Callithrix jacchus: one gene and its partners. The protein of the gene in region 2 interacts with the protein of the main gene of each other region in a pairwise test. Links are inferred from orthologs where the notes say so. Each region holds a gene or a part of one and is shown on either strand. Other genes may lie near its edges.

Region 1 (2,737 bases), on a different chromosome or scaffold from region 2:
AAGCTCCAGGGTGATTATTTCCTTAGACAAGCAAACACCTCAGCCCTCTAATAGGGTACTTCCTGGGGCTGGAATATCCACAGGAAGTCCTGTGAGGAAGAGCTCTGCCAAAACATTCCTTCCAAGGAAGGGACTGGTAAAGTGACAAATATGCCGAATCCTGTACAACATCCTGCATCCTCCATATGTGGTCCCGACTGCAGAGCTCATCCACAGGCAGGTCGCTGCTGACTCTATTCCTTTTCTCTGGGTTCCTGGGATGCATAAATATGACCCTATATAAGAAAACTAGAGGCCAGGCACGGTGTCTCATGCCGGTAATCCTAGCACTTTGGGAAGCCAAGGTGAGCGGGTTACGAGGTCAGGAGTTAGAGACCAGCCCGGCCAATATGGGGAAATCATCTCAACTAAAAATACAAAAACTATCCGGGCGCAGTGGCAGGCACCTGTAATCCTAGCTACTCGGGAGGTTGAGGCAGGAGACTTGCTTGAACCCAGGAGACTGAGGTTGCAGTGAGCTGAGATCTCGCCACTGCACCCAGCCTGGGTGACAGAGCAGGAGTCCGTCTTGAGGAAAGAAGAAAACAAAAGCATACAGATAAAAAGTTGCACTTACAAAGCAGCTGAGTAATTTATTGGCATTAGGAAAGCATTCCTTTAAACAAGGGAGGAGATCCTGAACACACTAGTCTCACTGAGTTTATAAAAACTTGAGCCCACCAAACTCCCCATCATCTCTACACAGCTTAAACCCATGGCCAGGGGCAAGAATTCGAGTTAAATGAATGGAACCAGTCCAGTTACAAGTCGATAAAGGGAAACAGAGCGTGGGGATTTGCAGTTTTTGCTTTTACATTACAAAGTTTCCAACGCAAGAAGCCAACAATACCCCAGAGCAGCACCAAGTTACTTCCCACTGTTTCCCAAGGCACAAAAATCAGTAGTCCAAGTTCTAATAACATTTCCTGGAAAACAAGGACGCACCTCCAGTGGCTCTGTGCACAGCCTGCCCTTGATGTATCAAGTTCTTAAGAACCTACAACCGTCTGACACCCGTGGGGAGAGCACCCTCAGAGAATCCCAGCATCAGGTCTCAGTTTTCCCATCTGTAAAAGACAGCCGTGGAGAGTGGGAGAGCCTCTAGGCTTCCAGATCGAAGTCATCGCGCTCCTCGTTGTACTCCAGCACGTGCCGCTTGATCTTGGACGAGTCGACCCAAGTGACAAAGTCCTCCATGCTGCGCGTGACAAGGAAGGCGGGGTCGGTAACCACGTCAGGGCCCACGCGTATGTGGCCTTGCTCCACAAAAGCCACAGCAGCCTGAAGGTGCTGTGCCATGCGCAGCTTGAGGAGCACGGTGGGAAGGCGGCGGCGGCAGAAGGAGGAGGCCGTGACGAAGTCGCAAAGCTCCAGCGAACCGCGCGTGGGCACCAGGCCGAGAGCATACAGCTTGTCCAGCAGCGCGGCGGAAGCGCGCACGCGGAACGGGTCGCGTTCGGGCAGGTCGCGCAGGCGCCGCGCCAGCTCACGCACGGCACGGCTGAGCTGGTTGTAGCGCGTGTAGTCCTCCCGCCGCTGCAGCCGGTAACGCCGCAGCACGCGCAGCTCGTGTAGGTTGTGATCGGTGACCTCCCAGTTCAGGAAGTCCACCTGCTTCAGCAGCTTCTGCTCGTGGAACTTAAGCTTCCGCACCATGATGGCGGAAACCTCAGCAGCAGGACCCGAGGCTGAGAGCGCGTTCTGACGCCTGCGCGGTTTCTGCCCCAGCGCGCCAAAACCTGGAAGCCTGGGGACCCTGAGCCAATGAAAGAAAAGCTTAGGGTCACGCCCTCACTTCCCATTGGTCAAGGTGAGACCACGCCTCTGCACTGGCATCTCGCGTTTCTTTTTTTCTTCGCGTTTGGTGAAGGAGTGGGTAGATGCACCGGAGGGAGGTGGTGTGGACGGGTACCTACGAGGCTCCGCATGGTTTTTAGTAGCCAAAACTGTTTGTGTAGACATCATTTCCTCCAAGACTAATGCCCTTTGGGGACTGTTACGGTCTTCCGTGCTAGAGCTGAAGAGGCCATTTTTGGGGAAGAGGGGTGACTGTGGCTTGTTGATTGGGTTTACTGTGCTAACTGGGCTCCTGCGGTGCCGTGGGAGTGCTTGCGGGGCGGACTGTCCTGGGGCTGACCTGGTAGTTCCCGCCGGCCGCCAGCGTCAGGTCCTTTTTTTTTTTTTTTAAGACGGAGTTTCTTTCTTGTTGTCCAGGCTGGAGTGCAGTGGCGTGATCTCGGCTTACTGCAACCTCCGCCTCCCCGGTTCAAGCAGTTCTCCTCCCCCAGCCTCCTGAGTAGCTGAGATTACAAGCATGGGCCGCCACGCTGGCTAATTTTGTATTTTTACAAGAGACAGGGTTTCTCCATATTGGGCAAGCTGGTCTCGAACTCCTGATCTCAGCTGATCCGCTCACCTGGCAGGCGGAGTGATTCTTCACTGTCAAGTTGGACCAGGTGGCACCGAACCCATGAAATACTGATTGCCTGGCTGCTTCCTAGGAGCACAGAATCGGAATCTATAAGGGAGCCGCCTGGAAATCTGTATTATTAACGCAACACTTGCGTTATGAATCAGATGATTCGTAAAAAACAGCAAGTTTGAGAAACTTGGACTATAAGTACAAGTCCAAATCCTTTAGTCTGTGCTCAAATGAATTATCTTGACATGCATCTCTGGCCACCAAGCATTGAGTTGG
Region 2 (3,750 bases):
GACATCCACACTATCAGTATGGATGGCTGGACTGGATGACCATGAGAGTCATCTTAGTCACCAGAAATTGGACGATCTTACCTCCTGAACTAGAAGGCAAGAACCATTGTGTAATTACGGCTTTTCTATTTTGAGTATTTATGTGCTAGATACAGAACCCAACACTCTCTAGGTATTAGCTCACCTAATCTTCACAACCACTGTATGGAGTAGATAATGCTAAAGATGGAGAAACTGAGGCTCAGGGTTCACCTGACTTGCCCAGTCTAAGGACTTGGGAGAAGCTGAGCCAGGAATTCCATCCTAGGTCCATCTGACACCTGAAGGCTGAGCTTCTTGCAGAGATCTTCCCTCTTGTGTCCCAGTCTCCTGGGCACAGAGCACAGTGCCTGGAACTTGGTGGATGCTGGCTCAGCCCATGTTTACTGGGGCTGACTTATCTCCAAGCCCTCGGGCAGAAAGAGTGCTCAGAGGAGCAGGGAGATTAACACGAGAACCAAGAATGGGAAAAACCAAGGTGGGACTGGTGATCTCATCCCTCCCTTTAACATTCTGGGACAAAGTCACAAGGAAAGGTCCACCAGATCCTCCTCCTCCTAATCCAGAGCCTGTGCTCTCTGCGCCCTCCCAGTCAGGCCCCACCCAGCAAGGCCTCTCTTCTCCAGAGGAGCATTTTCTTACCATTGTTTGTTTCACCAGGCTAACCCTGCAGGATAAGAATTCCTATCCCACCAGCCCTATGTCCATTCTGACTCTCCAGTCACCTTCGTGCTGATGCTCTGGCTCCTGACTCAGTCCCGCCCCAGTGCCCGGGTCCCAGCCTTGTCCTACCAGCATCCCTCACCTGGTTTTGGTTCTGAGCCGGTGGGGGCACAGGGTGCTGCTTCTCCTGCACTCGGGGCTTCTCCCTCTGCTGAGCATAGGTGAAGCTGGGAGGTTGAGGGGTGCCTGTGCCAGCAGAAATAGCTTCGGAGTGCCCCAATTTTTGATTCGGCTGTGACCCAGGTCCACCTGGGGCTCCAGGACTAAACTTGGAAGCCACAGGAGTAAACTTAGGAGTCACTGGAGAAAACTTAGGGGCTGGTGCCGGAGATGGGGCTGGGGAACCTCGGGGTTGAGTGTTAGCCAAAGACACAGGCTGGGGCTGGACATGAACCTGAGGCTTAGCCTGGGGCTGGGGCTGGGGTGGAACAGGGAACTGTGTCTGGCTCACAGTGGGAGCCTGGGGCAGAGGCTGGGAGCTGGAAGGGGCTTTCCAAGGAGGCAAGGGTGCTGTGCCCCCGGCTGTAGGCTTAGTACTGGACTTAGAAACGAATGGAGTAGCCACTGGTGGGGGCACATATCCAGATGACACCTGCAAGGGGAGGGAGAGGGAAGAGAGATGCAGTCAGGAGAACACCATCCTCCATAGCTCTATCCCCAGTCTCTCTGGCCTTGGACCCTGCTTTTCCTACTCTCTGTTCCCTTACCCGGGCTTTGAAAGGGTCATTTTTGGTCATGTCATCCAGCAGTGAGGACAAAGAGTCGATCTCCAGGTCAATACTGCTCACCTTCTCCCTGGGCTAGAGGGTCAGAGGTCAGAGCACCTATTCCATGCCTCCACCCCCCCTCCCCCAACAGGGCAGAGGTGCAGAGGAGGTAAGAAGAAAGGACCTTCTCCTCTCGTTGGGGGTGTCCTGGTGCGGCCGCCCGTCCCAGGTCTCCATACCTGTGGTGGGAGCGGTATGGGGGCTTCAGGCCCTCCGTCCTCCTCCAGCGGAGGCGGCGGGGAAGGGAAGATCTCCTCCTCCAGAGGCGCAGGGGGAAACGATTCCTCGATGGGGGGAGGGGGCGGCGGGAAGGCACCTCCCAGAGCACCCTCTGCATCGTCGCCATCCCCAGCGAGGGGAGGTGGGGGTAGGGGAAAGTCTGGGGTAGGAAGAGGAGAGACGTCGGCCGGGGTCCGTCTACCCTCACCCAAGCTCGGTTTACCACTCTAACCCCTGACCCAAGAACTCTTGGGGGTCCCGGAGCGTGTGGGAAAGCAAAAAAGGGGCACAGGGCACCCTGAGAACACCGGGTCAGGAAAGGCCAGGGGCATGGCGGAGAAGTGGTGCAGCTCCCGTTACACTTCGGAAAACGGACCCGGAGGGTAAGATTCGTGGCCCACATTCCCGCCTCCCACCCCCAGGCGGGGGACTTGGAACGGTCCCAGGAGCCCTGGCTCCCAGCCACGAGCTCCACGATGAGGTAAGAACATCTGCTCGGGACAGGGTGGCTGCGCCCAGCCCCCTCGGCAACAACCTTTCCAGACATCCCCAAATTCCCGAAACTACTGCCCCCCACCCCGGCGCCTGCCGAGGTCCAGTCCCCAAGCCCCGCTGCATACCTTCCGGGGGAGGCGGGGGGACCTCGCCGACCCGGCCCATCTGTGCGCGCTGGGCCCCAGGCGCCGGGGAAGGCTCGCTGTCCCCAGGCCGGAAGGGATTCACTTTGGGCTTTGGGGCCACCACAGGGCCGAACTTCTTCTGCGGGGCGTAAAAAGCCGGAGCCGAGACCGAAACGGAGATCGCAAGAGACGGGCGGGGGGCCGCCATGGCCAGGCCGGGCTGCTGGGGTGGGACACCGGGTTACGCAGCGCCGAGTCCGGTTCAGGAGCCCCCGGCGGTCCCAGCTGCTCTCGGCGACCCCCACGCGCCCCCTCCCGGCGCCCCGCACCCCCTCTCCGTGGGGCCGCCCGGCCGCTCCCAGCGCCTCACCGCGGGCCGGAGCGTGCGCGCCGCGTCTCGGGTGGCCGCCTCGGCGCCGGGTCCGCGGATTCTGCGTCCCGGTCCGGAGCAGCCTCCGGCCGGGCGGGGAAGGACCCACGGAAGGAGGAGGGAGGGAGGAGAGAGGGGGCGGGGAGAGAGAGGCGCCCAGACCATACAAGGAGCTGCCCGGAGAGGGGGCGGGGAGAGCGGGGAAGGGCGGACCAGGCAGGAAACACCCCCAGGAAGGGGCCCGGATCCTGCCCCAGGCCCGAGGCTCCGCCGAAGTCCGGCCCCGCAACCCCACTCACAGCCGCCCCCGCCACCCCGGCCCGGCTCGGACCCCAACTCCCCGAGCACAGGCCTCTGATGTCATTTCCTGACCTGCCCACCCTCCCCGCCCGACCCGCGGGCGCCCGAGATCTGACTCACGGTCCCCCTCCGGGCTCAGCGGCGGAGGTGGGGCGGGTGCCCCGGAGGTAGCCACGCAGCCCCTGGGCGTCTCCGGCTGGGCCCAGCGACCAGCCCTCGGACCTGCCGTTACCTGGTCCCCTCCCGCCACCACCCGCTACCCAGGCACCTCTGAGTCAGCCTGGGGTGCCGGACGCTTGCAGCTGGGCTCTAGGGTGTAAGGGGATGGGGGATGAGGAGCCGGGCGTTCTTCCTCCCGGCACCCCCCCCCCCCACCGATTCCGTGCCCGGAGTGGGTGTGTGAGCCGGAACCTCCAGCATTCTCCGGGATACGAACTTCCAACTCTGGGTAGCCCCTTCAGGCTTCTAGGAATTCGCATCCCCCGCGCCCCCGCCAGAGGATCGGTTGCGAGAGGGACGGTTCGGGCCCGCGGGGCCAGGAATGGAGGTGGGAGGGCGGAGGCGGGGCCGAGGTGGCGGCCACCTGCGGACTGGGGACCGGGAAGAACCGACGCGGTAGCGGGCTGCCCCTCTGATGGCTCTTCAGTGCCCACCACGACCCACTCTAGGAGACCCCGGGCGACGCTGGGGCTCTTGGGCATTCTGAGACCGC
Region 3 (3,693 bases), on a different chromosome or scaffold from region 2:
GTTAGATTTACTGTCTTTGCCATGCACAATTATTTCTATTTTTGTTGCAATTGCATTGTTTGAGGCCAGCATTTCCTATCACTAATATTAGGTTAAAAAATTTCCCCTTGTTCCATAAAACAATTTTTTAAAAACAGAATAAAACAGTCTGGTAATTATACAAAATCTGCTAGGCACAAAGGTGAAAGCGGCTCTGTTGGCAACGAAGCTACTGGCCAGCAGGTAGAATTAGGAACACTTTGCAGGACCAGTCACTGTTTATATCCAATGTACAAAGGTGAACCTCAGGGTCTGAAAGGCCATCTGCAGTGGCCCTGAATGAAAGGCAGAGTTATTTTAAAGGTGAATGCAACAAAGCTAAGGACCACTGACATGACATGACCCCTTGAAGCATTGTGCTACCATTTATAAAGCAATTAAGCAACAAGATAGGCATTAGGATGAGATGGAGGCTGGACACGGTGGTGTACACCTGTGATCACAGCACTTTGGGAGGCTGAGGCGGGCAGATGACAAGGTCAAGAGATCTAGACCATCCTGGCCAACATGGTGAAACCCTGTCTCTACTAAAAATACAAAACTTAGCTGGGTGTGGTGGTGCATGCCTGAATTGCTTGAACCCAGGAGGTGGAGGTTGCAGTGAGCTGAGACTGCACTCCAGCCTGGTGACACAGCAAGACTCTGTCTCAAAAAAAAAAAAAAAAAAAAAGATTAATGAGATGGATCAACTGCACTAATATGAACTGAACACCAGTGCGTATTGTTAGTTGTTAAAGGCAAGAAGCTTAACAGCTCTTTACTTACAGCTCCTATTTGTGTAAAACCTTAAAAAATGTATCTTATGGATGAATTGATAGTTTCTGTAGGGACGCCCAAGAAACTGTGAACCGAAGATGCCTCTGAACTAGGAGTTGAAGACTTGAGTGTTTCTCGGTACTGTGTGGCTGGGTGGGGGTACTGTACGTGAACTGAGATGACATAGGCTGCTACTACATAAGGGCCTGTGGACCAGTCTAGATGATGACCCGTAAGTGAAGAATGATTGTATTATCTTAAGGACTGCCTAAACAAACAACAATATGCAACAGAGATTGTATTTGGCCTGCAAAGCATAAAATACTATCTGGCTCTTTATGAAAAGAGTTTGACAACTCCTGGTCCAAGGGAGAGAATATAATGAGCCGAGTAAGAGTGGGACTCTGAGCTTAGTCTGCCTGGGGTTGATTCCTGGCATTGCCACCTACCAGCTGTATGGCCTTGGGCAAGTCAGCGAGGCATCGCTTCCTTGTCCGTGACAGGGGATTAAGAATAATATCTCTGATTCGTGAGCATGTTATGAAGATGTAACAATGAGAAAGTGCAAGTAGAGCACTCAGCACAGGGTCTAGCATATAGATAGTAAGGGTTGGTTACTATTGTCAGTATATATATTTTATATATGTACAGATTATATATATATATTACTCACCCATAAGTTCCACCAGCGACTTTAAAAAAAAATTTTTTTTTTTTTGAGACAGAGTCTTGCTTTGTTGCCCAGGCTGCAGTGCAATGGTGTGATCTCAGCTGACTGCAACCTCTGCCTCCCAGGCTCACGTGATTCTTGTGCCTCACCCTCCCGAGTAGTTCGGATCATAGGCATACGCCGCTGCGCCCAGCTAACTGTTGTATTTTTGGTAGAGACAAGGTTTTGTCATGTTGGCTGGGCTGGTCTCAAATTCCTGGCCTCAAGTGATCCATTTGCCTTGGCCTCCCAAAGTGCTGGGATTATGGGTGTGAGCCACTGTGCCCAGCCACACTAGTCACTTGTATTATTATTAAAAAATAAGCAAGCTCCCTATTTAGTGCTTGTTTCTTTTTTTTTTTCCTGTTCTACTTAAAATTTAAAAAGGCACAGACAGATGAAAATACAACCTTGAGCTTCATTTTCTTTATGTCTGGGTAAATTTTTTAATATGATAGCCATTTTAATTTTTCTTTTTTTTGAGATGAAGTCTTGCTATGTTGCCCAGGCTGGACTCGAACTTCTGGGCTCAATTAATCTTCTCACCTCAGCCTCTCCAGTAGCTGGGAGTACAGGTATGTGCCACTGTGCCCAGCTTCTTTTACCTTTCTAAATAGTGAATCTTTTTTGATTCATGACAGATGTGAAGTCTGTCTGAAAGCTCCAGCTTTGCTCACACAATATACAAGTTAACATGAAAATAACATGTAAGTGGCCACTGTGGGCTCAGCATGGGAGGCTGCAGGCAAGGGGCTAGGCTCTGCTATCTGGAGGTGAGCGCAGAAACCAATCAGGACAGTTAGAGTGACACTGAGTGTCTTTGGGGTCCAGAGAAAGAAAGAATTAACAGGGGCTGAGGCAGACTCACATCTTGCTGCAGAAGTTTGCTGGACACAAAGTGACAGATGGTGCTGTCAATCAAGTAAGTTGATTTCTACTACAAAGTCATCATCACCCATCTTGGACAGAAACTGGTAAGGAGCTTTACAGCACATCTATTCCCACACTTAAACTTATATTAAACTTTCCCATCTCAAACTCCCATGTCAATGTTATTCCACCTTTACCTTTATCAGAAAGTCACAACTAAAGCCAGTCAACATTCTTCCTCATCGCAGCTTGCTTCCCGACAAAGCCCATTCAAACAGCCCCACAACACTCACCTTGGGCACAGCGTCCACGACGCCTGTTCCCTTCATGTCGGTGATGTGGAGCAGCTCCCCTGAGCTCTACAGCTAATATCTCCGCTTCAGAGGCAGATTATGCAATGTCACTGTATGCTTCTGGCTGGTTCGCAGAAACTGAATTCTATGGAGCTATCTGACAACTCATGGGAAGTGGTCAAAAAGATTCTCCCAGCGGGCAAACTTTCTGGAACACGCGATAAGAGTAAAATGAAAGCAGTGAAGGAGGGGAGGACCAGAAATATAAGCCACACTCACGCCTCAGTGCCTGACGTCTCACTTTGTCTATAAGTAGAGACTAACTCATTTGCTATGTGAAACCACAAAAGAAGAAGAAGAAAAGAAAACCACCGCTCTTCTGCTTTATAGGGTGAAGTTCCTACTTTGAAGAGCTCCGTGTATGAACACATAGCATTCTTGTCCTTTGAACTCTGTGGAACAACTCCCATTGAACAGACCAAGCTCATTTCCCTGATGAGAGGCCACTAGGCCAAATATCTGATAGCGGTCAGCATTTCTTCCTTCCTGCTCCCTAGAACTTGCCTTATGACAGCCAGGATAAAAGCCATCAAGCAGGCTGCCTTAAAGGACACAGTCTCCAATCTTCCCGCTGTCAGTTGCACATTCTCCCTGCTCACCTCCTGGTCTTTGCTCAAGGTACCTAATGATGAACATCTATGTGCTGGCTCTGCACTAAGGGCTATGCCGAGCCCCACACATGTATTCTCTTTCTGAAATCAAAGACTCAACCTGTGTGCTGTACTTGAAACTCCCGCTAGCTCATGCAGTTTACCATCACTTGCCAACTCTTTTTACTTTCCCTAAATTCAGATCCAATCTCTAGCGAGGACCTACACCATGGAGATACTGTGCAAAATAAGTATGTATTCTTTTTTTTTTGAGATGGAATCTTTCTCTGTCACCCAGGCTGGAGTGTGATGACACAATCTTGGCTTACTGCAACCTCTACCTCCCAGGTTCAAGTGATTCTCCTGCCTCAGCCTC

The links.
Region 1: the proteins of ZYX (region 2) and U3 small nucleolar ribonucleoprotein IMP3 interact in binary tests that used the Homo sapiens proteins (3 or more experiments, as listed by UniProt). The link is inferred for Callithrix jacchus from reciprocal best matches to the Homo sapiens genes ZYX and IMP3.
Region 3: the proteins of ZYX (region 2) and CASS4 interact in binary tests that used the Homo sapiens proteins (3 or more experiments, as listed by UniProt). The link is inferred for Callithrix jacchus from reciprocal best matches to the Homo sapiens genes ZYX and CASS4.

What each region holds. Positions count from the first base shown.
Region 1 is NC_133509.1:22,563,218-22,565,954, forward strand, and holds U3 small nucleolar ribonucleoprotein IMP3, read right to left. Parts: upstream 1,752-2,737; 5' UTR 1,696-1,751; coding exon 1,141-1,695; 3' UTR 607-1,140; downstream 1-606. UniProt on the Homo sapiens protein: Component of the 60-80S U3 small nucleolar ribonucleoprotein (U3 snoRNP). Required for the early cleavages during pre-18S ribosomal RNA processing. Part of the small subunit (SSU) processome, first precursor of the small eukaryotic ribosomal subunit.
Region 2 is NC_133512.1:104,123,483-104,127,232, forward strand, and holds the start of ZYX (zyxin), read right to left. Parts: upstream 2,804-3,750; 5' UTR 2,739-2,803; intron 2,592-2,738; exon of another isoform or gene 2,589-2,591; 5' UTR 2,577-2,588; coding exon 2,369-2,576; intron 1,909-2,368; coding exon 1,709-1,908; intron 1,563-1,708; coding exon 1,470-1,562; intron 1,355-1,469; coding exon 845-1,354; intron 1-844. UniProt on the Homo sapiens protein: Adhesion plaque protein. Binds alpha-actinin and the CRP protein. Important for targeting TES and ENA/VASP family members to focal adhesions and for the formation of actin-rich structures.
Region 3 is NC_133506.1:52,060,552-52,064,244, reverse strand, and holds the start of CASS4 (cas scaffolding protein family member 4), read right to left. Parts: upstream 2,907-3,693; 5' UTR 2,704-2,906; coding exon 2,668-2,703; intron 1-2,667. UniProt on the Homo sapiens protein: Docking protein that plays a role in tyrosine kinase-based signaling related to cell adhesion and cell spreading. Regulates PTK2/FAK1 activity, focal adhesion integrity, and cell spreading.